Pelodiscus sinensis: one gene and its partners. The protein of the gene in region 2 interacts with the protein of the main gene of each other region in a biochemical or structural test. Links are inferred from orthologs where the notes say so. Each region holds a gene or a part of one and is shown on either strand. Other genes may lie near its edges. The genes, in order: CREBBP, KAT2B, H4C16 and EP300.

Region 1 (6,926 bases), on a different chromosome or scaffold from region 2:
AGAAATATGTTCACGGAACTATGTCAGAACAGTCCGGAGCTACTATGCCACAGCGATAGCCACCATCTTTGCTAAAACACCAGGGCTCGAACCATGGTCCCTTAAAGCTAAAAGCACAAGCTGCTACAGCCAAAGCTTTAGAGCAACGGGCTGTAACAACTCATATCCTCTGCAGCTTGGAACAGAGCAGGACCTGTAACACACATACCCCAGTGGGTTACCCACTACCACTGCAAATCCATATCCTAGTAACAACGCAAGGTTTATCATCCTCTTGTGAACCAGAATATATTGGTTCGGAACTGGAGGAAGGATGCTGTGAACTGCTATAGATTCTGGTAAACCCTTTGTTTCCAAGATCATTGAACACAGATGTGGGAAGTGAGAAAACTCTAGGTAAGGATTGACCCAAGCCAGGGTCCAAGTTTCACTGATTGAGCATTTGAAAAATAGAAAAAGTCATTAAAAAAGTTGAGAGTTCTGCAGCCCCGTATCACTTCTGACAAGCAATGTCTCTCCTAGCTGCCAAATCCTTCTTCCTTCCTTCCTCCATGTATTTCTTTTCTTAAAATTAGATTGCAAAGCTGTCTGGGGGAGGAACTGTGTCTTGAGATGTATTTTTGTTAATATGCAAAGGGGAAGTGCATATTGGATGTTGTGAAGACCAGGACTTGAACAGGGTTAAAAAAGAAGTAGGTAAATTAATGAAAGTTAGGTCCATCAATATTTATTAGCAGGGCTTGACAAGCGGCGGCGAGCCCTGCTCGCCAGCTGCGCGGTTTGGCACGCTGTGCATGCACAGACCGCGCTGCGCATGCACAGATCGCGCTGCGGCGCCATGCTGGGCTAAAATCTACTCGCCACAGGCGAGTAGATTGCCCTAATTGTTGAGCCCTGCTTATTAGCCAGAATGGGTAGGAATGGTATCTCTGTTTATCAGGAGCTGGAAATGGATGACAGGAGAGAGATCACTTGATGATTACCTGTTTCTGTTCATTCCTCTAAGACACCTGGCATTGGCCACTGTTGGAAGACAGGATACTGGTCTAGATGGACCTTTGGTCTGACCTAGCATGGCCGTTCTTATGTTTCAGAGGGGTAGCTATGTTAGTTCGTAACTGGAAAAACTTAAAAAACAACAAATAGTCTTGCAGCACCTTAGAGACTAACAAAAATGTAGATGGCATCATGAGCTTTATGTATCACGAGTATTATATTATTTTGTGATGGGTGTGCATACATTGCATGAAGGCAGCAAAGGAGTGCACCGATAGGTTTGTGTTTTGGGGACGATGTCTGGGGGTGTGCACATGCTATAGGATGCCAGTGTGAGGCTGAAAAATGCGGGGAAGCTGCATGATAGTCATGTGGGCAAGTGTTGTGTGGAGGTCTGGGTTCTGCAGGGATTGGGTACATGTGGGTGGAGAGCATCACTTAGACATTTAGGAACCACAGGGTGGCAGCATGGGGGCTGTGGGTGGACATCATAGAGAAGTAATGGAGGGGACACAGGCTTGTTGTGTGGGAAGGTACGGACACCACAAAGGGCATTATGGAAAAGACAGCATGAGAGATACAGGTCAGCATTAAGGGGGTATGGGGGAATGTTGCTAAGAGATTTGGGTGCCGTTGTGTAGGCAGGTTGTGCGCTATTTTTCATCAATGAGCAGAGCCGGCTCTAGGTTTTTTGCCGCCCCAAGCAAAAAATTTTTTGGCCGCCCCCCCTTTTTCTGTTCAGGGAGGGACTTGGGGACACAGGCACTGTGAGCACCAGAGTTCCCCTTCCTTAGACAAAGGGAGAGGGAGAATCACCTGGGTCCCAGCCAGGGGTGAGGTTGTCAGGACACAGCACAAGGGGGCTGGGTTCCTGGGCAGGTGTGTGGGGGAGGGGAGGGAGGGGGGGAATGTTTAGAGAGCCAGACAGGGGATGGGGATCCAGGCGGGGGGAGGGGGGAGAAGAGACGGGATCCCAGCAGGATTGCAGGGGGCTAGGAGGAGAAGAGAGGGGGGAGGAAGTGGGAGGGAGGGGGGGTCACAGGATAGTGGGCAGGGGGACAGCCAGTCAAGGGGGGTTCACAGGCAGGAGAGCTGTGGGGGAGAGAACACAGGCCGGAGGGGTGGGAGAGGGGGAGTGGTGGGAAGGGTGCACGGGAGCAGGGATTGCCGGCCGGGGGCGGGTGTGCACTCACGAAGGCAAAGAAGAGGCCCTCAGGCCCAGCCTCATCAGCCGCAGCCCCCTCTCAGGAAGTACCCAGGGCTGCCCACGCAAAGCTCCCAGAGCTCCGGGGCCAGGTGCAGCCTCCGAGCAGCCAGACACAAGGCTCCCTGCTTGGGAGTTGGGGCCCCGCCGCGGCTGAGCTCCAGTGCCCGCCGAGCCCCTGAACTCTGGTCCAGTGAGTTGGCTGCCGGGAGCAGCCACCATGGCCGTGGCCTGCCCCGCCAGGCTTAGCGTCACCAGCTGCGGCTGCCCTGTGCTGGGGCTAGGTGCTCCGTCCTCCCAGCGCCCCACCCTCCCAGAGCTCTGGGGCCAGGTGCAGGCTCCGAGCAGCAGAGTGCAGGGTTCCCAGCTCAGGGCGGCCTCCGCAGGGCTCCCTGCTGCCCTGCTCCTCCTGCCAGCCAGAATGCCACCTCTGTCAATGTGCCACCCCAAACACCTGCTTGGTTTGCTGGTGCCTGGAGCCAGCCCTGTCAATGAGATCAGGGACGGGTGACGAAGGGACGCCGCCTGGGTGCAAGAAATTTGGATCTACTGCAGCCATGGGCAACCTAGGCTAGTGAGTGGGCTGTATTAGTGGTCCTCCATAATCTCAGTGGTCTGGAAGATTGTCAAAACAACGAGAAGTCCTGTGGCACCTTGTAGACTAACAGATTTATTGGAGCATAAGCTTTAGTGGGCAAAGACCCTCTTTATCAGATGCAAGATTGTGGTAACCAAGACGGTCTCCTTGGTCAGGGTGGCTTTGCTAACTTCTGAGGGGTATGCTGATTGAACAATAGCAGTGCTTGGATTGGATGCAGAGGGGGCGCACGGCTCTCACAGTCTGTGTTGTGTGCAATCAGCACGCACCTCCCTCCATGTGCCCTTGCTCTATGTGTGTGTGTCACTTAAGTGATAATGGTAGGAAAGAAAACTATGTGGAAGGAAACCAGCAGACACTGGCAATCATGGACAAGGGTAAACAAAATGACTCCCGGGTTGCACGCAGAGCCCTGATGGGCCGCAGGTTGCCCACCATGGATCTGCAAGGAAGCAGCAAGTGAAGGGTATGGACAGATAGGGCAACGAGAAGGCAGCGTGGGGAGTGTTGCAGACTGTTGCACTAGTATTATTGGGGAGCAGCATGGTGCAGAGGCCAAGGCAACAAAAGTCCAGCTTGGTACTCTCTGTAAATGCTGGTGGGTGATGCACCCTGTCAGCCCGGTGCTATGATCCCTGGGAGGGGGTGCACTGCTGTGAGGCACAATGGCAGGGCAGGCAGGAGTGCTCTGCACTGGCGGAACAGTGGGGTGGGTGCTGCCCCGTTGCACTGGTGCTGCAGAAGGGGGGCACAGAGCATGGGGCCAGGTGGGCAGGGCAGGGAGTAGCATGGGAGTGGTGTGGCTGCTTGGTGGAGGCTGTTGCCCTAGTGGGATGGGGTTAGGGACAGCAGAGGTGCCCCTCCGAGGTGGCTCCAAAGGGGTAATTGAGCAGGAGCCAGAGGGGCGGGATTACTGTGCACGCTCATTTACATAGGTTTGCATCCTCTCCTCCCCCAGCCAGGAGCTCCAGGGCAGCTCGGCGCTTTCCGGCAGGGCTCGCCTCTTTCCGGGACGGGGCGTGCCCCCCTGCGCGGTGACGCAGCACGCCGGCCCCGCCCCCGCCCCGCCCCCATGGTCCCTGGAAAAGAGAAGAGAAAAAAAAACTTTTTTTTTTAATTGAGGAATCAACAGCCGCCATCTTGTCGCGGAGCCGGAGCGCGGCGCGGGCGGGAGCGGGGCCGGGCCGGGCCGGGCCAGGGCAGCGGGGCCGCCCGCCGGGGCACGGGCAGCCGCACGGAGCGCCGCGGAGGGCCAGACGGGCTCGGCCAGCGGGGCAGCGCCGGCCGGGAGGGGGCGAGCCGGGCGCCGCCGCCGGGACCGGGCGCAGTGGCCGCCGCGCTCGCTGCGCCGCGCTCATTGTTGTCCCCGCCGGCGGCGGCGGCTGCGGGCGGGCGGGGGTCGCGGGCCCGGGCGCGGGGCCCGGCGCGGGGCCGGGGCGAGCCCCCCGCTCGGCGGGGAGGGCGGGGACGCGGCGCGGAGGAGCGGGGTGGGGGGGCGCTATGCTCCCTGAGTGCCTGACTGACTGAGCCGCCATCCGGGCACCTCCTCGCGCGGCGGGGAGGGCGGGGGAGCGGCCGGGAGGAGCGAGCCAGGCGGGGGGGCGCTGGGCTCTCTCCCCACCCCGCCCCGAGCCCTCCTCCCTGCGGCCTGCTGCGGCGGCGGCCCGGCCCGGGCATGGGGCAGCGGGGGCCGCCGCCGGCCGAGCACTGAGCGGCGCTGTTCCCCCGGGCGCGCGGCGCGGAGTCTGCTGGCGGCTGCCCGCGGCCGGGCGCGCAGGACCGGGCGGCCCCGGGGCTGGCACCGCCGAGCCGGCTACCATGGCGGAGAACTTACTGGACGGGCCGCCCAACCCCAAGCGAGCCAAGCTCAACTCGCCGGGCTTCTCCGCCAGCGACAGCACAGGTGAGGGCACCGCGCGGGCAGCGCCGCTTCCCCGGGGGCAGCCCCTGCCAGGGGAGCCACCCGGCCGGGGCCACTCGCACTTCGCCGGGACCCCGCCCCCGCCAGCTGACCAGAGTGCAGCAGCCTGCAGCTGACTCCCCAGCCTGCCAGCTGCGCTCCGTGGCTCGGACCCGGCGTGTAACTTCAGCCCTCCACCTTAGAGCTCCACCGGGGAAGGCTCTAGGGCGTAGCACGACCTGGCGAAAGCGAGGGGCTCACCTGGCGCTGGCTTGTGCTTTAGAAATAAGTGTAAATGAAAGAGAGAGCTTCAGCATTGGTACATTTCTCTCGGAGTGGGGCAGCCTCTTCAAAGGCGTTTTGGTTTCCCAGGTGCGTGTAGACAGATTCCTTCGTGCGTAGCCTATGCGTGTGTAACTTTGACAAGACCGCAGAGTTACCTAGTGCGCTGGAATAGCTCCTTGTCTGTTCATAAATGTGTGAATGAGCAGTGTGAAGTGCTTTCGAGAAGTAGGCATTTTTCCATTACAGTAACTGCTTTCAAAAGTTTTGGCGTTGGGCAAGAGAGGCTTTTTTTTTGGGGGGGGGGGGAGAGGATTTTATAGACTTAAGGAAGGAAATTTGACAAATATTCTTCTAGGCAGTGTACACTTTTCTTTTGTGCACGTTTGTGTGTGCGATCGCTTTCACCTTCGCTTTCATCATTGTCATTCATAACCCTGGTCGTAACCCAAAAACTAGGTTTAACAAATGGTAGATTGTCTGCTCTGAGAATTTTCCTAAATATGTACGTGCCTTGTTACACATTTCAGTTTTCTTGTATACATGAAAACATCCCCACTAGTCTCGTAATGTTTACATATAATAAACTTGACAGCAGTGTGTCTTATAGCCATCTTTCACATAATAGGTGGGGAAGAGATGAGCGGGGGGGGGGGGGGGGGGGGGGATGATTGTACAGTAATTGCCAAAAGACCTGTCAGGTGTAGTACTCAGCCATTTTAACTCTTTTTGGAACTGACTGGAGTTGAGAGTGAATGGCAGTAGACACAATGCTGTGAAATGCCCTGTTAATCAAAATAACTGTTTGTAATCTTTCAAATAGTCACTTTAGGTTGCTACAGTAGTAGGTAAAAGATTTGAAACTGACTTTTGAAGGTGTTATTTTTGGAAGTTTTAATTTGAGAGAAACTCAGTTTTGCAAACTTATGCATTTTGGGTAGTCTCAAGGAACTCAACAAAATCTGTAGGATAGATACAGTTAAGCCTGTGCAAAAGTATTTGTGAGGCTAGGGCCTCAGTCAATGAAAAATGACACTGTCAGAGTAAGTACTGTATCTGACATATAGAAGGCAATACAAATTGTTAGGGTTCCAAAGTAGAGTATTAGTCAAAATGCTGAACCTAAAATGGGATCTTGTCTCTTCTTGATTAATAACAAAGTTGTGTGTCAACCATAAATGTTGCCTTTGACCAGTTTCTCAGATTGATAGATGTGAGCCACGTGCAACAGCAGGCTGCATATTGTACTGTTGAATGATGATTAAGGTTTCAGTCATGCAAATGCTTACACACATGCTTAATTTTACTATTGTGAGTAGTCTCAGTGGAGGATTGGACTATATATTTAATGAAAACACTAAGTTTTCCCTTGTTTCCCTTTCACATGCTGTTTTTTGTAGTAGTGAGTAGGTTTACTCAATCCGTTTTCTTGATAAATATTACTTCTTAGCTTGAATCATTCCAGTAAAAACATTTTTTGTTGAGATAAGATGTAGAATGTTCTTTCAAATTATTCGAGAGTGATGTAAGAATTATTTGAGGCAAATCTTCATTTGTGTATTGGAGTAATGTTTGCATGATTGAAGTTAAGTCTTGTGAACTTTTTTATGAATGTGATAGTTCTGTAAATTTTGAAATTATACATTGAGTTAGCATTTTAATAATACAAAATCAAAATATATTGATAAAAGTAAAGCCTTGTGTATATCATAAATCAGTATTAGCTAGATGACTAAAGTGATTATGTTCTTACACCAGCAACACAGTATGCTAATCAAAGCTAGTTACTACCAATACTAATTGTCAGGTTTCATCCCTATAACTAAGCTAATGAGTAAAATATCCATGGGAAAGGGTTTTCATTTATCTGCCTAACCAGTAGGATCCGTGTGTGTGTGTTTTATCAAATCCTCCGAGTTTCTTGTTGCATAATTTTAAACATTTGA
Region 2 (7,577 bases):
TAGGTACTCATAGACTGTAATGAAATCACCTCTTAACCTTTTCTAAATAGATGGAGCTCCTTAGGTCTGTCACTATAAGGCATGCTTTCTAAATGTGTAACCTTTCTTGTGGGTCTTCTTTACCAACATCCTCCTCGAACTGTGAACAGCAGAGCACTGGGAGCTCATGTTCAGATGATTATTCACTATGGCACCCACATCATTTTCAGAGTCACCATTTCCTGGAATAGAATTCCCCATTATATAATTCTGGCATTCTTTGTGCAGAGAAATATGGCCTTTCTAATAACTTTGTCTCTCCCTTTCCTGCCACTACTGTTCTGTGAAAAGCTCACTGTTAGATGGTAGCATTGTTACAGCTCATGTCTTCTTCACCTGCTACTGCTCTGAATAGTTCATTGTCAGGTAGGCCTCTTAAGGGTCCTGCATCATGTAGGACATCTCACTTCTCAGCACTTTTCCTGACCCCATCTCAACTGGCTAGTTGTCTTCACAGAAGTTTTTCTTTCTTAACTTCTCCCAGCATATACTACCACCAGGGCAGCTGCATGAGTGCTAGTGATGGTGGGAGAGCTAGAATAGCCTGGCCACTAGCATCTTATCATTGTGACATCATGAGCGTCCAGTATTATAAGCGGGAGAAGACTCTGCTTTCCCAAATGGCCAACCTGTCCCCCCCCACAGTCCCCCCCAGAATACCTGCTATAGGCGTATTGGGGGCAGAGTGTTACTGCCCCCAGCACCCACCCTCCCAGTGCTCCTGACCTGGGATGCTGGAGCCACTCCACCCACTCTTCTCCCACTCCATGCTCAAGTGTCAGGGAGGTTAGAGACATGCACCCTTCTCCCTCCCTGTGCTTGGGGGCTGGGAAGACTGAACCCACACATCCTCCTCCCTCCCCTGTGCTCCAGGCCGGGGAGGCTGCGGCATGTGCGCCCAGACACCCTCTTCCCCTCCCCATAGTGAGGGTCGGAGAGATGGTTTGGCTCCCATGAGTGGAGAGGGGCTCAGCTGAAGGGGTGGGATTGGGGGCTGGAGCTGGAGGCTTACCTCCCCCAGCCTTATCTTCACTGACCACTCATGTGTGATATCTAGATTTCTTCTGACCCAAATCAAGATTAAAATGCAGTAGCTGGACTGTTCTAGTGCTTTTCTATTGCTGCCAGCATTGGAACTGCACTGTTGGTTTTACGGTACTGCAAGAGAAAGTAAAATGCTTAGGTAGGCACAGCCACTGACTTCCATCCAATGCATGTAGCTACACTATGAAAACATGTATGCTTTGTTCTGCAACTGTCCAGGAAAGGGATTAGAGCTTTTCCTATTGTGGTCACCTCATACCTATGGTGGAAGCCATTCTGAATTGCTTCAGTATCTGTGGATCAAATTAACACCACTTCAGCCTGCACTAGTGTAAACAAAGCAGTGCAAGCTGTAATAGTGCAGTACATACAAATGAGGCATTCTGTTTTGGGGAGCACAGAGTGCACCATGTCCAGGGCATAGCTGTTACTTCAAGGATTACAGCAGGGGTTCTCAAACTTGTGATATCGCGACCCCCCTCTCCGTTGCTGCAACCAGCCTCTCAGTTGCTTGCGATCCCCCTCTAAGTTGCTTGCAACCCCCAGGGGGTCAGGACCCACAGTTTGAGAAATGCTGGATCACAGGGTTTTATGCACATCCATATTTGCAAAAATGAGCCATGGATAAATGCATCCACATCCACAGTTGTGGATATCTGTGGATATAAAGTAGATATCCATGGATTTGCAGGGCTTTACTTACTGATGCTTAGAGGAGGAGCTGTACCTGTGATGCTGCAAATATTAGCTCCCACTGGCAGCACTTGTGTGGCTGCAAGCCGTGTGACAGGCAAGCTAGAGGGTTGTAATGGTCCTGGGAGTATCAACATTCTGTAGTACAAATAATTCCCTTTCAAGTCACCTCCAGCCTGTCCTTGTATTACATGTGGAGAGAATAGAGTACCCCTCAGAAGGAGAGGAGACCTGACAGTGATGTGATAGCACCAGTAGCATGGCCACACTGCTGGCACATGGAAGAGGAGGAGCCAGGAGGGAAGGGACAGGGAAGAGCAAACTTTGGGAAGAAGTGTGAGACAGAGAAGGAAGGGACAATTGAGAGAGACAGGAGGAGGGGAGAGGAGGGAAGCAGATGAAAAACAATGGGGGTGAGGAAGAGGAGGATGATCCTTGTTCAAGGAGAATTTGCCACAGTGTAGCCTTGGCAGGATACAAAATATGTTGTTGGGTGATATTATGATGACATTTTCAGGGAGACTGTGACCTCAGAGATACATCATCTTCTTCTCTTCCTCCTCCAGTATGTGCTAGACAGCAAAGGTACGTCAGCCAACCACCTTTCCTGCAGTCATCCTATTCTTATTTGTAATAAAGATTACTTTGTAGTGCCCACAACCATAAACAGAGTTTCAGAGCAAGCTCAGGAAAGAAGGGCCTGTGCCCCAAACAGTTTACAGTTGAAGTGACTGCGATGACAGGTAAGGGAGGAAGGAGCACATCCTGGAGAAAGGAGAGGAATGACACAGGTAAGGAAATATGCTCATACGGCTCTTCCATTTGTATTCTGCATTCTTAATAGTTACACAAAGATAACATTTGTAGCTTTTAGTTTTCATTACAAATCAGAGATTTGATCCTCAGTTTAATTAGTGGCATGTACACAACTTAGAAAATATGTGATTCATGCGTCTCCTTGCTCAACCATATAGCCAAATGGTAGCAATAGCAGATAAAGCAGGGCTGGGCAAATACTGGCCCGCAGGACAGATCCAGTCTACCAGGATTAGCCCCTTGCAGGCCCCCTCACTGCCATATTTACCTGCACCTCCGCAGGTACAGGCGATCACAGCTCCTGTTGGCTGCGGATCACTGTTCACGGCCCAGGAGAGCTGTGATCTCTCCGACCTAAGGAGGAGGGGCAGGTAAATATAGCGGCAGCGGCCCCCCAGGGGATAGCCCATGTGAACCATCACCGTTTTATTGCCCACCCCTGAGATAAAGATTAACTATATGCTTTACCAGTATTGACCAGCTCTAAGAGTAACAGCAGTAAAACAATACCCAGAACTAATATGTTTACTGAGACTGTGGTGAATTGTGCAATATTAGCCTGTGGCTTCAGGCCCACAATCCTATGGTCTGGCAGCTTGCAACACTTACATGTTTAAGTAGCTTTGCTCATATAAGTAGTCTGTCAGAAGCCAAATAGTCTACATTTTATAGTAGTAATCCACTGGTCCTCAAACATAAACTGCTTAGCAAATATATTGTTTCTGCCCCTTTGCTTCTCTTTAATAATGACGTGACATTTTTCCTCACATTTTAAAGTGTTGTTTTTCTCTGCTTTATTTTTATATTTAAACATATCAGCAATATCAGGTCTTTTCTTCAAAGCCCTGGTGTTGCATAGAAATATCACAGTAGGCAGGAATCTTAAGTTTTCTCATTGCTTTCCCACTCAATTTAGGGCTTAGAAAGCTGTAACACAGTTTCAATATACTGTGACCTCACTATTTCTCTGCATTTCTTCAGCCCTCCTGAAGAAATAGGGAAGTCAAGACCTGATATTTCTGATGTAGAAAAAACAAACAGGAAAAACATGAGTTAATCTTCAAATATGAATAAAGACAATAGGACACTCACCATGGACATGAAAACACACTTATTCTGTTATGAAAGTGTTCACATGAGGATTTATACCAATATAATGATACTTGTTTAATCATATCAGTATAATTAGTACAATTTTCCTATGTAAGTGTATCCATCAGTGGGAAAACAAGGATTTAAGTACATTGATTTAAAATCTGATTTTAGTTTAACCAGAATGTTATTGTGCATAACCAAGACTGTAAAACATGTTACCCCCTATTTAGCTTGGAAATTCCCCCCATTTACATCAGGCCTTTTTGATATCACCAACTCTTTTGATCGGTCAGTTCAAAATATGCAGGCTGCAACAGAAGCATGCAGAGAGCCCCCTAATCACAGAATCTGAACAATACCCAGAACTTTTTTTTTTTCATATGTGCATAATATCAACCTCCAAAAGGGTTTCAGTAGTAGGTTCAAATCTGGGTCCTCTGAAGCTTTTAAATGCACTAGCATGTTAGCTTTTACTGCATGAGCTGAACAACACTTTGTTTTAGCGCAAGCCAGTGATTCTCAACCCATTTACCATTGTACGCCACCCACGGCATGTCTACATTGGGGAGTTACAGTAAACTTCCGATAATCCGGCACCTTTAGGACCCAGGGGGTGCCGGATTATCAGATTTGCCGGACTATCGGAAGGGGGGGGCTATGAGGGGGTCTAGGGTGGTGTGGGGGGAATGCCACCCCAGACCTCTCATAGCCCCCCCTTCCGATAGTCCGGCTCTGCCCCCGGCGTCCCTGATTCAGCCGCTGCTGGTCAGTTTCAGCAGCAGCTGAATTGGGACGCCTGCGGCAGAGCAGCTGGGGTGCTGCCAGGTTGGTCCCGCAGCGCCAAGTGGCGGCGCTACTGGACCAACCCGGCAGCACCCCAGCTGCTCTGTCCCAGGCGTCCCCAAATCAGCTGCTGCTGAAATTGATCAGCGGCAGACTCCAGGGCTTCCGGGAGACAGCCGCTGGTCGGTTTCAGCAGCAGCTGAATCGGGGACAGCTGGGGTGCTGCCGGGTTGGTCCTGCAGCACCGAGGAGCAGCGCTACAGGACCAACCGGCAGCATTCCAGCTGCTCTGCCCCCAGCTTCCCCGATTCAGCCGCTGGTCAGTTTCAGTAGTGGCTGAATCAGAGAAGCCGGGGGCAGAGCAGCTCCAATGGTCCGGCTGCCCGGAGCACTTCCGGGTTCCTGATGGTGCCGGACCATCAGGAGTGCTGGACCAATGGAGTTTTACTGTATTTTGAAACCACTCCCCTTATTCCAAACTAATAAGGCGAGCATCCACACTACCAAACCCATTATTTCAAAATAATGGGCTTTTTATTTCAAAATAATAACTCCTGCTTGTGAATAGGAATAAGCTTATTTTGAAATAGTTATTTCGGGAGTTTTTATTTTAAAATAACCTGATAGTGAGGACATAGCCCTAGGTAGCTCTCTACCTGTTATGTGAGCCACATCCAAACTCTCTCTCTCTCTATATATATATATATATATACACACACACACGTACACTATCTGTATGGCCCTGAGCATGTCACATGGTCCAAGCTGTGGGCTGTTTGTGCCACAGGGCTGAGAACCACTGGCCAAGGCTGTAGTGGGCTCATGAATCTTTATGACAGGGCTACTCAACTTTGGAAGCCCCAGGGGACACAAAGATACAGCACATGCTGAGGGCTGCAATTTAAGTGTGGTTGCATTTGCATGCAAATATATATGCAAATAATTTTTTTCACACTGACAGGCTTGAATACAAAGATTAAGCCTTAAGTTGCAGCACTGAACCCAAACATAGCTAGTATGAGCCAGTCAGCACCTCTCAGGCTCTGCCCACAAGGCTAAGCAGCCAGCACCTACAATGTCCCAGTGCTCCCAGCACCTCCTCCCTGAGGGCTAGAACCGCCAATACCCTGTATTGTTCCAGCCAGCCCATCTGCTTGCATTTTTCAAGCTCACCCTGCCTGGGAGACGCCTCACTGTTGTGCTGCATGTTCCCAGTGGAGGCCATGTTCAAAGAATCCCACCTGCAGGCCACGTGTTGAGTACCCCTGCTTTATGGGCCTACTCACCACCAGAGAGGGACAGAGCACCACTTCCAGCAAGCAGGGGTTACATGGACATTTATTTCCACTGTATAGAGAAGCTTTCTGTACATATTTCAGTGAGGCACAATCTCCCTCATACAAATCGTTCCTGCAGCCTGAGAGCAAAAGCTACTGGTCTGTTAGTCTGCAGAGGGAGAATACACATTATGATGTTAGAAAAATATTAAGTGTTTGCCAATATTGTAGCAGATGTTACTGATCACAGATCGGGGTGTCCACATATAACTTTTAAAATGATTTTTCCTGCCTCAATTTAATCAGAGGCAGAGGCATCTTAAACATATTGGAGGGTTTCTGTCAGGTGGTGCAACTCCCCCAGTGGGGACACTGCCATTTAGCGCTCCCAGTGCTTGCTACCTCCAGTGGCCACTATGACTATAGCGTCCATCTGAATAGCCCCTCCCTTTCCATTCCCTGCATATCTGGTTTTCCTGGCACAACCAAACCCTGACTGTGCTTTAGGTTAGGAGAAGAGGAAGCCATATACCAAATTTGGTGTTCCTAGCTCTTACCATTTAGGAGGAGTTCTTGAAAAAACAGATAGAGATGCAGAGACAAACTGTCTCCAATATATAGTATATAAGTATTCATACATACGCAGCACGTATGTGTATTTACTAGATACAATGCTACATGCTATAGTTAGCTGTGCTATACACAGCACTTCTCAGTTATTATACTGTACCTATCAGGACTGTATCTGAGGACCAACATACACAAGAATCTATTTATCTAGAGAGGCAATGCTAGACAAGATGTGTTTTTTATACGTCACATTACAGTAATGTAAGCACAGGAGGGAGTTTAACTGTTTTGTAAAACCATCTGCATGATTTCTTAGTCATTACACATTATAAGCAGAGCTGGTTGTGCCACCTATAGATAAGGTTGTTTGTCACTTTCCATTATAAAATTTTGTTTTCACTTATAATTTTGCCAAGCTTTAGCTGTTTGAGTGGATTTTTTCCACACTTCAGGCTGATTTAATTTAATTTAATTTTGTGTTTGTTTCCAAGAATAAGATTTGTTTCATCCATTAAACAAATTCGTATGTGTTTTATTCAAACACTCCTGCACCCTCGTGCTTTGAAGCAGCTTTGAAATTTTCTGGGAAAGTCACCCTGGTGTGAGATGTGTGCCTTTAGCCTTTCTTATCAAATCTGCCCAAACCTGTCAAGCTATACGCCTCTGAAAAATCTCAGTTCACACATGCTCAGTAGAGACTTTATTAGTGATTGACAACTAAATTCCCTGACAATTCCATCAACGCTGAACATGCTATATCCTGGAGCTGCATTGATTGAACAAAACTTTCCCTCTCTGCAACTGCTGATCCAGTAGGTTCAGGTCTTAAATCTAAGAACAGGGAGACTCTCTCCCTCTCTTCTCTGATTTCAATGTCCCCCTTCTGGTTCACAGGCAGCATGGAGGAATGAAGAAAGGACAAGAGCTGGACCTCCCCAAGCAGGGGAAAGAGTAGATTAAAACAAGGACTGGCTGGGTAAGGAGACTCTGACTGGTAGTGTGAGGAGACTGCGGTTATATGAGGTAGAAATTGGGACTGGCTGGGCAAGGAGACATGGAGCCAATGTGGGGAAAGACTAAGACTCTACAGCCAGGTGGGAACTGGAACAAATTGCCTCAATAGGAAACTGGGAGACAGGGTTGGAGAAAGATTGGAACTGGGATGAGGAGTTCGGAGATAGGAGACTGGGATAAGAAGTATGGGGAGTAGAGACTTGGATAAGGAGTTGAGACACAGGACTGGTTTGGGAGACACAGTGA
Region 3 (4,971 bases), on a different chromosome or scaffold from region 2:
TGATTTAGCGGGTTTGATTTAGACCTGTAAGTCAAACAGTGAGGGAAGCTCCAGCTGGCGCCTGTATTCCTCGCAGTCCCGAGGAGTAAGGGAAGCCTACTGGAGCATTTGCTCCTCTTGGCCTGCTGCTGTGTGGGTGCTGGAAGCTGACTACAGCTATGTATTCTATGTAGCTGGAATTGTGTACTTTAAGCTGACCTTCCAGGTCTAGTGTAGACCTGGCCTAAGCCGTGTTTCCAAAGCATGATGATGTGCAGACTTCAGCTTTGCTGGGCTGTAGACCTGTCTGTTAAATGGGAGAATCTAAAGGAGAATCCCCTGAGCCCTAACTGAGGCCCCAAGGCAAAGCATTAATGGAGGTGGGCGCTTACCCCCTCCTCTCCTCTTACAGCCAATGCCTGACTAATTACGCTATGCCTTAAAAAGTTTTAAATGGAGCTGTCTCTGTCCTTGCATACAAAACCTGTTTAAGCATATTGGTTAGTGCCAGTGCACGATTCTTCCAGGGAGATGGGCATTTCATGGACACGGAGACTGGCTCCAGTGCGAGAGCACCAGTCACTCACTGAACTGAACAATCATTAAAAGATTCCTGAATGTGGAAAATGGCTCAGTTTTGGAATTTCTTCTATGTTGCTCCTTGTGTGTCCTGAAGTGGGCGATACAAACCTCATGCTGAGCTGAGTAGGGCCACACTTGGGTTGGAGTCTTACTTGCACAAATGGTTCAATACTTGTAGAATGTGCACATTGACATCTGAACAGAAGGCTTGTCTGTATTCCCGGACTGGAACTGGAATGTACTTAACTTCTCTTGGTGGTTTCGGTAACCGGGTTTGGTTCTTTAAAGGATTTGAAACCACAGACAGAGGAATACTTCTTTTTAGGGTCAAACAAAGATTATTCATTTTTTTCTATTTACTTTATAATTAATTTTCCATTTAAATCAATTCACTATTTTTGATTCTTTTAAGACAATATAATATACAAAGAAAAAGTAGAAAAACAGTATAGTTGAAAAAAAAAAAACAAGAAATAATAACTTCTCCTACAGATATACCCTCCTGAGTTACCGTTAAACAATTTATGGAGTTAACAAATATATAATACTCACGTTAAGAAAGATAGAAGCATTGCTTAGATTCAGGAGATATTCTTTTCTTTGTTTTTCCTTTCTTTGGATTTTTTGTTGCAACAGGTGTTTGTTCCCCTTTCGGAGCTTATTTGTTCTCCTTTCGGAGCTTATGTGCGGCAGCAAGATTCAGCGCCGGGGAGGGAGACCTGGTTGATCAGACCTGGCTTTTGGGGTTCGCAACCTGTCCGCTCTTGGTCTGTTTCAACCAACCTTATATACCCTGTTTCGGTATTTTGGTACTCCTCCACTCGCCTGACAATTGCTGACGTTAGATTTTTGTTGTCTCATTCTGTCCTTACAAAAAACTTTCGTCTGCTCATTTTGGGGTAATCAGCACTTTTGTTGCATACTGCTGTGTGAGGTACTTACTTCCCTAAAAGCAGGGTTATTGTTGGTGAACCAATCAAATTTTGTTTTTATTTTTATCTCCTGTATCTGACAATGCTGCCTTTCCTTTCCACTTACAATTAAACTGGTACTCATTTGACATATTCTGGGTAGGCCGCAACACATCACTTTCACAGGTGGAATGATTTTCAAAGGCAGGATACCAGGTCTTAGTGTATCTCCTGTCTTAAACTGTGGAAGTGACAGACTCCTCTTCCTAGCATGAAGCATGCACAGCAAGCTTTACGGGGAGGGGAAGGAGTCATGTACTATCCTATGGGACTAATCCTGCTAATACACTTGATGGTGGTGCTAGCTGTGGTTTGAGAACCACGCTCAATTTACTCCCTGAATGACAGAAGAATGCCAGTAGGAGAAGGCCCAAATATCTTCCTAACGTTATTGGGCTCCCTGCACAGTGAGAGGCCCAAGAACTGATAAAAGGATCATTGAAGTGCTAGTGACAGAGGTGGTTTAATTCTCCATAAGAAACCTGGAGGTAATTTTAATCAAAGTTAAAACCCATATACATGTCATTGTTTTCTCTCCAGCAGTAAACAAACCAAATGAACGAATTGCCGGTGGACGGGCAGGAGGGAAGGGAAGATGCAATCAAACAAAACCAATCTCCAGCAAGAAAAGGAAAAAAAAAGTAAAACTGTCGAATTTCATGATTGACTTTGAGAAAACCTTTATCACTTGTGGTGTGCAGAGATCAGCAAACCAAAGAATACTTACTCTAAAGTTCCTTAACTGCCCTGTGTATAAAGAAATATACATAGATTACATATTTTACAGCAGATTTCTCTATTTTCCTCTGTATGTTAGTGCAAGTAACTAAAAATCTAGCCTCTTCAAAATCAGACAAACTTTGTGTCCACATTAAAAAATGAAAGAAAAGCTACCAATCTCCCTCTAAGACTTCTGCAACTGCTTTGGATGCGTCTATGCAGCAGCATTATTTTGGAATAATGGATGTTATTCTGAAATAATGCGAGCGTCTACACAGCAATTCCGTTCTTTCGAAATAATGGACGGCTTATTCTGACTTCTGTAAACCTCATTCCATGAGGAATAATGCCTATTCTGAAATAGCTATTTTGAAATAGCTGTAGTGTGGACCCTCCTCTACTGCTATTTTGAACTAGCTCCTCCCCAGGGCCATTCAAAGTCATTACACCCTAGTGGTTCCTGGGGCTCTAAATCAAGGTAGCATCCTCAGGACTATCTTTGAAGCTTTCCCATAGGGTACGTCTAGACTACCGCGTTTTGTCGACGGAAGTTTTGTCGACAGATACTGTCGACAAAACTTCCGCCAACAAAGAGCGTCCAGACACATTGAGTTCTGTCGACAAAACAAGCTGCTTTGTCGACAGAACTCCGTAGTCTGGACACAACGTTACAGGCAATAACACCTTCTGTCGACAGAGTTCTTGTCGACAGAAGGTGTTATGCCTCGTAAAATGAGGCAGTAGTGTAGACGCTGGTATAGTTTTGTCGACAAAAGTCCACTTTTGTCGACAAAACTAGGTAGTCTAGACACACCCATAGTGTAGACATGCTATTGTAAAATAAACTATTTTGGAGTATTCCTTCTGGAGTAACTTATTCCGAAATAAGTGTGCAGTGTAGATGTACCCTTTGTGAAATAGGAGAGGAGTCTGTTTCTTAGTATACTTCGGTCATCAGAAGAAGTGGGTTCTGCCCAGGAAAACTCATGATACCAGGTACGTGTTTTGTTAGTCTTTAAAGTGCTACTAGACTATTTATTGGCGTTGAAGTTTTTTCCTGTTACAGAGTAACTCCGCAACCCCTCTGAAGCTTTTGATTTCCGAGGGTCTGTTTTCAGTGACCATTCAAATCCGTGGTCAGACGCAGCAGCAGCAGCGACATCGTTCACGTTAGGCGAGAAGAAAGAAAACAATCAGGAGCAAGGGGAGGGAATCCGAGTGCCCATGCTCCCGGTTTTTGGCCGAAGCACATGTTAAACCCTCCTTTCCTTTGTACAAGCTTTGGAAAATGGCGGCGGCGGGGGCGGGGGAGCAGAGAAAGGAGCAGGGAGTGAGGAAGGGAGGCGTGCGTGAGGGAACCTGATTGGCCGTATTTTGCCGCAGATTCCTACTTGAAACGAAGCCACACAATGGCAGCCGCGTTATCGTAAGATTTGTCGAAAGGGAAAATATTCCAAAAACAGATAGAAAAGGTGACGTAAAGAGATTCCTAATCTAGCCATCTGCACGCTGAAGGAGAGGCCCACCAGCGTCAGGAGAGGCGGGCTTCCAAAGGAGCCCCCATGCTTCGTGCCAGCGCTTCACCCCGAGTCGCCTAAACCCCCCGCGCCAGTCCCTTTTAGTAAGCAAGCTAGTTTTGCGAGCCTTGCGCCGCCCCGGCAGTCAGAGGCATGGACAGCGAAGAGCGGGGGAGGGGAGACGGTACAAATAACCCGCCCTTTTCCCTCTGCGGTTCTCAATGAGGTCGGACTTCAGGCAATATACGGAGACGATTACCCGGCATCGCCATGCAGCTGTGACTGAAAAGCTAGCGAGCATGTCTGGCCGTGGCAAGGGAGGTAAAGGTCTCGGGAAAGGAGGCGCTAAGCGCCATAGGAAGGTATTGAGAGATAACATCCAGGGTATTACGAAGCCAGCTATCCGCCGTTTGGCGCGCCGTGGGGGCGTGAAGCGCATTTCGGGTCTCATTTACGAGGAGACTCGGGGAGTGCTGAAGGTTTTCCTGGAGAACGTGATTCGAGATGCTGTTACTTACACCGAGCACGCGAAGCGGAAGACGGTGACTGCTATGGACGTGGTTTATGCATTGAAGCGCCAAGGCCGTACTCTGTACGGATTCGGAGGCTAAGCCTGGCAGTCATTCTTAGGGAGAAGAAAAGAAAAAACTAACCCAAAGGCTCTTTTCAGAGCCACCCACGCTTTCATAAAAAGGAGCTGCTGTTGCTGTAATGGTTTGGGGTCTGGCCAAAGCCTTCGTTACATTAGTAGACGACGGCTGTTCAAATTAGCTCGGGTGCCGGATGGTAGCTTCTCACACGGAGAAATACTTTGCTTTGCGTTCTATACAGCGCATTATCGCTAAGACTTAAGTGAAAACCCAACACTCCTCTCCTCTCCCCCCAAAATAAAAGCGCATTTCTAAAGGCTTCTCAGTTTTAAGTTTGCGGGAGCGCATCCGGACTGCGGGGTGGAAAGGGGAAAACAACAGTGGGGTGTTTTTGCCCGATAGTAGCGTGTACCTAAGGAAGCGGAAATACAGCTCTTTTCCGTGTAAATGTGGTGGCTCTTAAAAGAGCCTTTGTGTTTTAAATGGTTGCAAGATAAGGGCTTTAAGCTCTTTCCCCTCGGATGCGTCGGGCCAACTGGATGTCTTTAGGCATTATAGTAACTCTCTTAGCGTGAATGGCGCACAGGTTGGTATCTTCAAAGAGACCAACCA
Region 4 (7,793 bases), on a different chromosome or scaffold from region 2:
CTAAATGTATTCTAAAAGTTCTCTGCAAACATTTTTCAATTAGGTATATAAACTTTATAGAACAAATTAAGAAGATGAGCAAACAAAAAACTTTTAATTAAGATGATTCCAGTTAAACCAATGCACAACAGAAAGCAAGACATTTAAAACATCTTGTTTACTGAGTGACGGCCAGACATTTTTTACTCATTTTCCTGGCAGCTCAAACAATTACAATGAACAAGTAAACTGGTGCCTATCGGGAACAACAACATTAACTAGAGAATATATGCAGGGGGAGTGACAGAGTTGAGTCCCAAAAGTTTTCTTTAACCTAAGAAGATCTAAAAGCAAGTTTTGAGAAACAACGGGGGACAGGCTGCTCAGAACTCTCAAAGCAGAATTTTACCAAATGCTCATCTGCTTCTTAATAAGAGGCAGTGAAGAACAGCTTACTGTTAATTTCCAGTACAACTAGTTTACATTTGATGGGGATTGGGACACCCAAAATTTATACCCTCTAGCTTGATTTTGGAACAACTATGGATTGTTCCTCCATACAAAACCACTGTTAAAAATCCTTGAAGAAAGAAAAAGACCCTTTCATCTTCACAACCCAATAAATCTACATGGAAATTTCAGACATTTTGGTCTCACAGCAAAGAAATGGAAGATGCAAAATGAACTGCGCTCCATATTGATTCTTAATGCAAATAAGATGAAACGCTATGTGTTTGCATGCAGATAAACATGGTCTTAAAATCTTACACATCACTAAAATCTGCAATCCAGAACTTAAAAATTACAACTAAGAAATTTCTAGCAAAAACCAGGATAGCTGTTCCTTAGAGAAAAGAGAGGTGAGAAAAGGTGAAGGGAAATGGTAAAAAAGTAAATAGGATAACCAGAATGCAAACAAGAGAAAAGGAGGAATGGGGAAAAAACTCTCTTATTTAGAAGAAAAATATGTAAGGATTTTTACAATGCATGTAATCCAACAAACATTGAGACATAAGTGTATGTATACAGACACTGTTAAGAGTTAAGATGTTTTGTGCACTATTTTATGCCTATAACCACCAGAAATGAGAGATATAAAGATGAAAACTGTACAACTGTTAAGTCTTTTCTGCAAGTGACCAAATGAATAATAAATAAGATCCCATCTCAATCACATCTAACAAATAAAGGGCAAGAGCAATTAAATACCCTCCGAAAAGATTAATACACATAGATGCAGACGAAAAACGGGTGCAAATGGAAAGACAAAAAGGGGAAGGGACTAAGGAAGAAACAGAGCTGAAGAGGAGGAAAACTAGAGGAGAGGAAAGGGTTCTAGGCGTATTATTGGGACATGGGGGGTCTGGGCCCCTGAGACTGACCTGTGCCATCGCTTGCGGACACGGAGAGCGCCGGTGAGGAGAGTTTAGGCCGCTTGGCTGAAGGCGGGCCCGGCTCCACCACATTCTCGGCCATTTTTAATTCTTTTTAGACAAACACAGCGAGCAGAGGGACGGGGATCCCCAAAATCTTCCCCTTCCTCTCGGATCCCCGACTCAGTTGTGGACTAATGAGAGCGAGCGACGGATCTGGAGGACGCGGGGGGCCAAGTTCCCCTTTTTCTGCCCCTCGGGTTCGGTCTCTGGTAGGGTGGCACCGACTCAGCGGGGGGAAAAGGTGGGGAGTAGGGTACGGAAGAGGCCTTTTCCCCCGGACAGAGAGGAGACGGGAAGAACACGGAAACCTCCCCCCGTGCCAGCAACAAAAAAGAAGGAGAAGAGCCTGGTAGGGTTTAGTCAAATTAATCCCGGCTGCTGTGCTGCTGCTGCTTCCTCATCTCTGCCACCATCATCTTCATCCTCCGGGGGGTCTCCTCCTCCTGCTGCCGCCTCACCGCCGCCATCAGCCTCTTCCTCCTCGGCGTCGTTCTCCTCCTCCTCATCGCCACAAGGAGGCGGGCGAAGAAGGGGAGAGGAGGAGGAAAAAGGAGAGGGGGAAAAAATCACCCTCCTCTAGCAGCTCCTTCCCCGTCCAACACCACACAGCAAAAAAAACCACCACCCACTGCCCGCGAAGGGGCTGGAGGGAAGCAAGACAGTGCGTGTCCGGGGTCCCCAGCTCCCCTTGCTTCTTCCTCGCCAGGCACTAATGGCTGCAGAGCGGGGAGCTGGAAGGATGAGGAGGGTGAGGATAAGTCCCAAGAGTCTCCGCTTCACATCTTGTCGTGCGGGGAAAGAGGAGGGGTTGTTGTCCTGATGGAAGCAGCGCCGATCCCTGGATGGAGGTGCAGGGGGCGGGTTTCAGCGCCCCCTTCTCGCTCTCTCCCAGCCGGAGGAGCAGGGTGCCCCCCTGAGCAAGCGGAGGGACCGATCCCAGGGCAGGAGGAGGAGGAAGCAGCAGCCGGCCCCTCCCCCCTTCTCTCGCGCTACCTTCCCCTCCCGAGTGGCTGAGGATGGTTAGCGCTGGTTTGGGCAGGGCGGGGGGTGTCAGGCTCCTCTCCCCCACCCTGCGTTCGGCGACGGTCACTCTCCGCCTCTCAGGCGCTGTTGGGACGCCCTCTCGCCTCCGCCTTCGGGGGCGGGGGCCCCAGCGGGGGTCCAGACACCACCCAAAATCCCGGGACGGGGGGGGGGAGAATCTCCCCCTCACGAATAAAAGAGACCGCGGGGGGGGGGTCTCCTCTGCTCCCCGGAGGCGGGCGGGGCGGGGTGGAACGGGGGCTTTAAGCGGAGGCCGAGCGCGCAGACTCCCTAGTGCCGCTGCCTGGCTCTCGGCGGCTGGCTGTGGGGCTGGTGTGGTTAACGGGGGTGGGTCTCGGACTCTCTTCTCTTCCCGTTCCCCGCCCGGGCCCCCTGAGTCTCTCTGCGCTGCCCGCCCCCTGGCTCGCCCCGTCCGGCTCGGTCTCTCTCGCCCTCCCTCAGTCGCTCACACACAAACAAAATGGCGGCTGTTGTTTCTTCACTCTCCCGAGTCCTCGGAGGGAAGCGAGCGGCGGCGGCGGCCGGAAGTGAGCCAAGAGAAAAAAAGGAGGCGGGGCCCGGAGGGAAGGCGGGGCCACGCGGAGCTCGCACTCACAATGGAACGCGGAGGGTGGGGGCTGGAACGGTGCGGGGGGGAGAATCAGGGGCGGGGCCAGAGGCAGTCACGAGGTCAGGCCGCCCACTCCGCGCGCCCTGCTTCATCGAGGCCTTCCGCAAACTCCCTCACCTCCGCCTCTTAAAGGGGAAGGAGAAGGAGGGGTGGAAAAGAAACCCTTCCTCCCCCGCCCACCGCCTCCTTGTTTTATTAGTCGGCCGAAAAACGCAGCGCGGTGGTTGATTGTGGCAGGATTGTTGTAACCCGACTGCTGGGGGGGGGGGGCGGGGGAGCGCAACCTGGAGTGGGCAGCTCCTCTGCTGCACCGCTGGGCGGGGGCGCGGCTGCCCGGAGCCTCTCCCGGCTCGGCAGAGACAAAGGCCCCGCAGCTCAGACCCTGGATTTCAAGGGCTGGGGAGGAGGGGGGAGGAGAGCAGGATCTGGCCCATTTCCTATGTCGATTTCTACTCAGCGAGGTGGCTGCGTGATGCGCAGTACAGCGACAGCTATGCATGTACCTACCCAGAGATGCAGATTACGCCGTTGTGTAACCTGCCATTGATACATCACCCTAAAGCGGAGTCTGACCCGCCTGGCAAAGCTCCGCTCTCCTGACATTAACCTGACATTGCTGGGGTCCTTAATTAAGGTTTTTGGGTTGTTTTGAAAACATAATGAAAATGTACCTTGCTTGAAGTTAGAAAGCTGAGTACTGAATTTGGTGGTCCTAGCTCTTACCACTTCGAAGGAGTTCTTGAACAAGCATACAGACAGACACAGAAAATCTCTCTCAAATATATAGTAGATACTGGTAGGGAAGTTACATTTAGATTAACTGGCTAATCGAATAGTGGATGCAGTTTGCATCCATTATTCGCTTAGTCGATAAGCCTCAGCCTTTGAAGTGTAGCAACAGTTCCAGAGCTGCCAGTGTTGCTCAAAGCAGCAACACCATGGGCAGATGAGGATTTTGCGGGGCCCAGAAGAGCACAATTTTGCGCGGCCCCCCCTTTGACACGGCGCACGTGTGGTGGCGCATGCGCGCGGCTTCTTGAAGCGCGAGGCCTGGGGTGGCCACTCGGCTCACCCTGCCCTATATCCACCCCTGAGCAACACTACATATAGCCCCGGGTCAGCGGGGGACTCAGAATCCCCACCTGACCCTGAGCTCCATGCAGAGCTGCCACTTTGAAATGCCACATGCAGCCTGGGGCCAGCTGGGAGTTCAGTCCCCAGCTAGCCCTGGGCTGCACTTGGCGTTTCAAAGCAACAAACCCCAGGCTCCATGCAGCGCTGCTGCTTGAAACGCTGCATGCAGCCTGGGGCCAGCTGGAAGGCCAGTCCCCAGCTGGCCCCAGGCTTCACAGCATTTCATAGCAGCAGACCCTGGGCTCCACATGGCACTGCCACCTTGAAGCACCCGCTTTTCTTCCCTCCCCCTTGCTGCCTCTTTCTGATAGAGGCAGCAAGGGGGGGGAAGTGATTAGTCAACTAGCATGTCGACTATCCAATAAGCATTTGTTTATCAGATAGTCAATTAGGCAATGTCTAGACTGCAAGCCTCTTTCGAAAGAAGCTTTTTCGAAAGATACTTTCGAAAAAGCTTCTTTCAAAAAAGAGCATCTAGACTACAACCAGTACTTTCGAAAAAGCACAGTTTGCATTACATATCGCCTTTTTTCGAAAGAGCACTTTCGAAAAATGGCATTCTTCCTCGTAAAATGAGGTTTTCCAAGGTTGAAAAAACTACCGCGTTCTTTCAATTTACTTTCGAAAGAATGTGGCAGCAATCTAGACGCAGGGGAAGTTTTTTCGAAAAAAGGCCACTTTTTTTGAAAAAAACTCTGTAATCTAGACACCTTTAGTCAATGAGTCATTCACATCCCTATATTCAGGCATATACACTATGGTTTCTCCCTCATTATCATTAATCATAATCGGCAAGTACAGCTGCATAGATCTTGTACTGGAGTTTATATGCTTTCATGACAATTTTGCAAGGTTGGTTTCTCACAAACACAAATTCTGATCTCACCTACACTACACTATTATTTAGTATGCATCAGTGTTGTGCTTTGCTCTGTCCTAGGTATAAAGACACTGCCTGTTCGAGCAGTTTAAATATCTGGCCACTGTTTTGCAACCTATTCCATGTGAGCAGATCCTTACACCTATGCACAGACCTAGTGATTTCAGCAAGTTTTGTGCCCAGCCAGAAGGCTCCATGCATGCAGAGCAAGTTATAAGAGTTAGGCCTAAAAGAAAAGAATATATAGAGGGATACAAAATTTGGTATCTTCTTTCTTGCCACTTCCCTGTTCATGGTCAGAGACTTTTATTGCCTTCTTCCAAAACTCATAACTGTACACCTGGCTGTCATGCAAGTTAGTCATGTTTAGGTTGGCTGAAATTTGGTCTATGTACCAAGTATTTATCCTCTCCCTTGGTCATCTTCTGTCCAAGAACAGCGCAAGGACCATTGTACCATAACTGTCAGCTCTCCATTAGACATGTCCATAACAGTGTTCCTTGTAAGCCATGTGCTTGTGCAGTCACTCAGGAGAGATTCAAATGCTGCCCAGATAATTAACAAAATGCCCACAGCTAGGTTTTGTTTCTACTGGTGGTACACATTCACACATGCCTCAGTGCACATAAAAATTATTTCACACATAGATGGAAAAGATTAGGGGGAACACTGGTCCATACCAATGTTCTGAACTTGTCTTCAATTGGGACAACCCTCATTAGGCCCTTCATAATTTCAGTTAATTGCCTATCATTTAATTGCCTTCATCTCTACAGTGGAGAGCACACTGATTTCTTTTGTGTCTGTCCAAAACTCTATTCTGTACATTAAGATGGGTTGAACTACAGTTTTACACCCTACCTTTTAATTGTATTGGTATTTTTTATCACACAGAACTGAGGTCAATTCCTACCATTCCATTTATACCAAGCAGCTTTGATATAATGCTAGGCATCACATAGAGAGGAACCACTGTCAGCACCATTGATCCTAGGTATTCAAAATAGTGTTGCAGTGTAGATGTACCCTTAGAGTAGGAAGGGGATTTTGTCATCTGATTTTTCACAGGCTACAAAATAACTGGCCTGGTAATAGCTTTCAAGTTACTACTAATCTGAGGCAAAATTCAAACCAATAATATAAGTTCAGGCTCCATATTTCTGTTCTGTCGGCTGCCCCCGACTTGCAACGTGATTGGTTCTGGAGATAGCGTCGCAAGTTGGGGATGTCGTAACTCGAGTCTACATTTATGACAGGTGTCATATGCCATTGTAAATGTGGAGCCGAGGACATAAGTCGGGGGATTTCGGCCCCTTCTGCACTTACAAAAAGCTTGTAAATGTGGGGGGTCATAAATTGGGCTGTCACAAAGTGGGGGCCGCCTGTACATTATATCCCTAAACAGTTTTTTATTATAACTACACTCATGTTATTGCACCTTTCATCCAATAACCACAGTGCACATTGCAATCATAATGATTACTGGTAATAACAAATTAATTATACCCCACAAGGCCCTGTGTAGTAGTATTATTATCCCTACTGTACAGTTAGAGAAACTGAGGCACAATGGGATAGCTGCATAAACAGATGGCATTTTTATTATGTAACCATGCACTGTGCTTTGTGCAAATGGATACATGAATTTTCTGTTTTGACACTGTATACTTTGTATTTCATGATTGTTTTCCAACAATAATGTACCCAGTTGTTTTGGCATAGGAACAGACCATGTAGTGGAACATGGCCAGATTGTTGCCATGTGTGTTTACTTAGATTCATGAAATAAAACATGGGCATTTTTACCAATTAAAAGAGAGACCCAAACATGTTACTTCTTTTGGTTGATCTTAATCCTATGTTTGTTCTTGCATGTGTGTTTGGTTTTCCAGATTCCATAATCCTGTTCTTCTCCAGAAACCAATAGAGGTGTCTCATTTTTATTCTTTTATTTCAATTGCTTTTCTATGTAATACCTTCCATATGTTTATTCTTCCATGAGGGAAGTAGTTTGACCTGATTTGCTGCTAAATTCATAATTATGAAAAAATATTTCTATCACTGTAGAAACCTTAGAGGACATAGCTAAGATTTTGAGCAATTTACTAGTATAATCCTGATATCAAATCTAATATATTCATTATTTTATTACTTATTACTTATTCATATTTATAGGACTTTCAAGCAATTAAATTAATTGTGATTAACCACATTTAATCATGCAATTCATTGTGGTCTTAAACCATAGTAGACTATCATATATATAAATAATTTTGTCTATTTTCACAGCCAAAATATATTGATTTGAATTACAACTCAGAATACAATGTGTACAAAGCTCATTTTATTGTTTATTATAAATATTTGCTCTGTAAAATAAAATAAATACTATTTTTCAGTTCACTTAATACAGGTACTACTTACAAATGTAGAATTATGTACAAAAATAACCGCACTCAAAAACAAAACAGTGTAAAACTTTAGAGCCTATGAGTCTACTCAGTTCTACGTCTTGTTCAGCTATTCGCTCGGACAACAAAGTTTGTTTATATTTGTAAGAGATGATGCCTTCTGCTTCTTGTTTACGACATCCCTGAAAAGCGAAAACAGGTATTCACATGGCATAGCTGTAGCCAGTGTTGCAAGATATTTATAGGCCAGATTCATATGTCCCTTCATGCTTCTGCCAGCATTCCACAGGACATGGGCA

Evidence for each region.
Region 1: the proteins of KAT2B (region 2) and CREBBP form a complex in vitro, tested with the Homo sapiens proteins (4 studies listed by BioGRID). The link is inferred for Pelodiscus sinensis from reciprocal best matches to the Homo sapiens genes KAT2B and CREBBP.
Region 3: of the proteins of KAT2B (region 2) and H4C16, one has a biochemical effect on the other in vitro, tested with the Homo sapiens proteins (2 studies listed by BioGRID). The link is inferred for Pelodiscus sinensis from reciprocal best matches to the Homo sapiens genes KAT2B and H4C16.
Region 4: of the proteins of KAT2B (region 2) and EP300, one has a biochemical effect on the other in vitro, tested with the Homo sapiens proteins (4 studies listed by BioGRID, with this or other methods). The link is inferred for Pelodiscus sinensis from reciprocal best matches to the Homo sapiens genes KAT2B and EP300.

Annotation. Positions count from the first base shown.
Region 1 is NC_134726.1:3,553,093-3,560,018, forward strand, and holds the start of CREBBP (CREB-binding protein), read left to right. Parts: upstream 1-3,902; 5' UTR 3,903-4,616; coding exon 4,617-4,701; intron 4,702-6,926. UniProt on the Homo sapiens protein: Acetylates histones, giving a specific tag for transcriptional activation. Mediates acetylation of histone H3 at 'Lys-18' and 'Lys-27' (H3K18ac and H3K27ac, respectively).
Region 2 is NC_134712.1:191,345,458-191,353,034, forward strand, and holds the start of KAT2B (histone acetyltransferase KAT2B), read right to left. Parts: upstream 3,027-7,577; 5' UTR 3,012-3,026; coding exon 2,861-3,011; intron 2,568-2,860; exon of another isoform or gene 2,434-2,567; intron 530-2,433; exon of another isoform or gene 376-529; intron 256-375; exon of another isoform or gene 241-255; coding exon of another isoform or gene 102-240; intron 99-101; exon of another isoform or gene 84-98; coding exon of another isoform or gene 38-83; intron 1-37. UniProt on the Homo sapiens protein: Functions as a histone acetyltransferase (HAT) to promote transcriptional activation. Has significant histone acetyltransferase activity with core histones (H3 and H4), and also with nucleosome core particles.
Region 3 is NC_134711.1:85,908,586-85,913,556, forward strand, and holds H4C16 (histone H4), read left to right. Parts: upstream 1-3,863; 5' UTR 3,864-3,990; coding exon 3,991-4,380; 3' UTR 4,381-4,445; downstream 4,446-4,971. Other genes in the region: histone H3, read right to left, coding at 4,862-4,971. UniProt on the Homo sapiens protein: Core component of nucleosome. Nucleosomes wrap and compact DNA into chromatin, limiting DNA accessibility to the cellular machineries which require DNA as a template.
Region 4 is NC_134711.1:89,545,339-89,553,131, forward strand, and holds the start of EP300 (histone acetyltransferase p300), read right to left. Parts: upstream 3,005-7,793; 5' UTR 1,456-3,004; coding exon 1,362-1,455; intron 1-1,361. UniProt on the Homo sapiens protein: Functions as a histone acetyltransferase and regulates transcription via chromatin remodeling. Acetylates all four core histones in nucleosomes. Histone acetylation gives an epigenetic tag for transcriptional activation.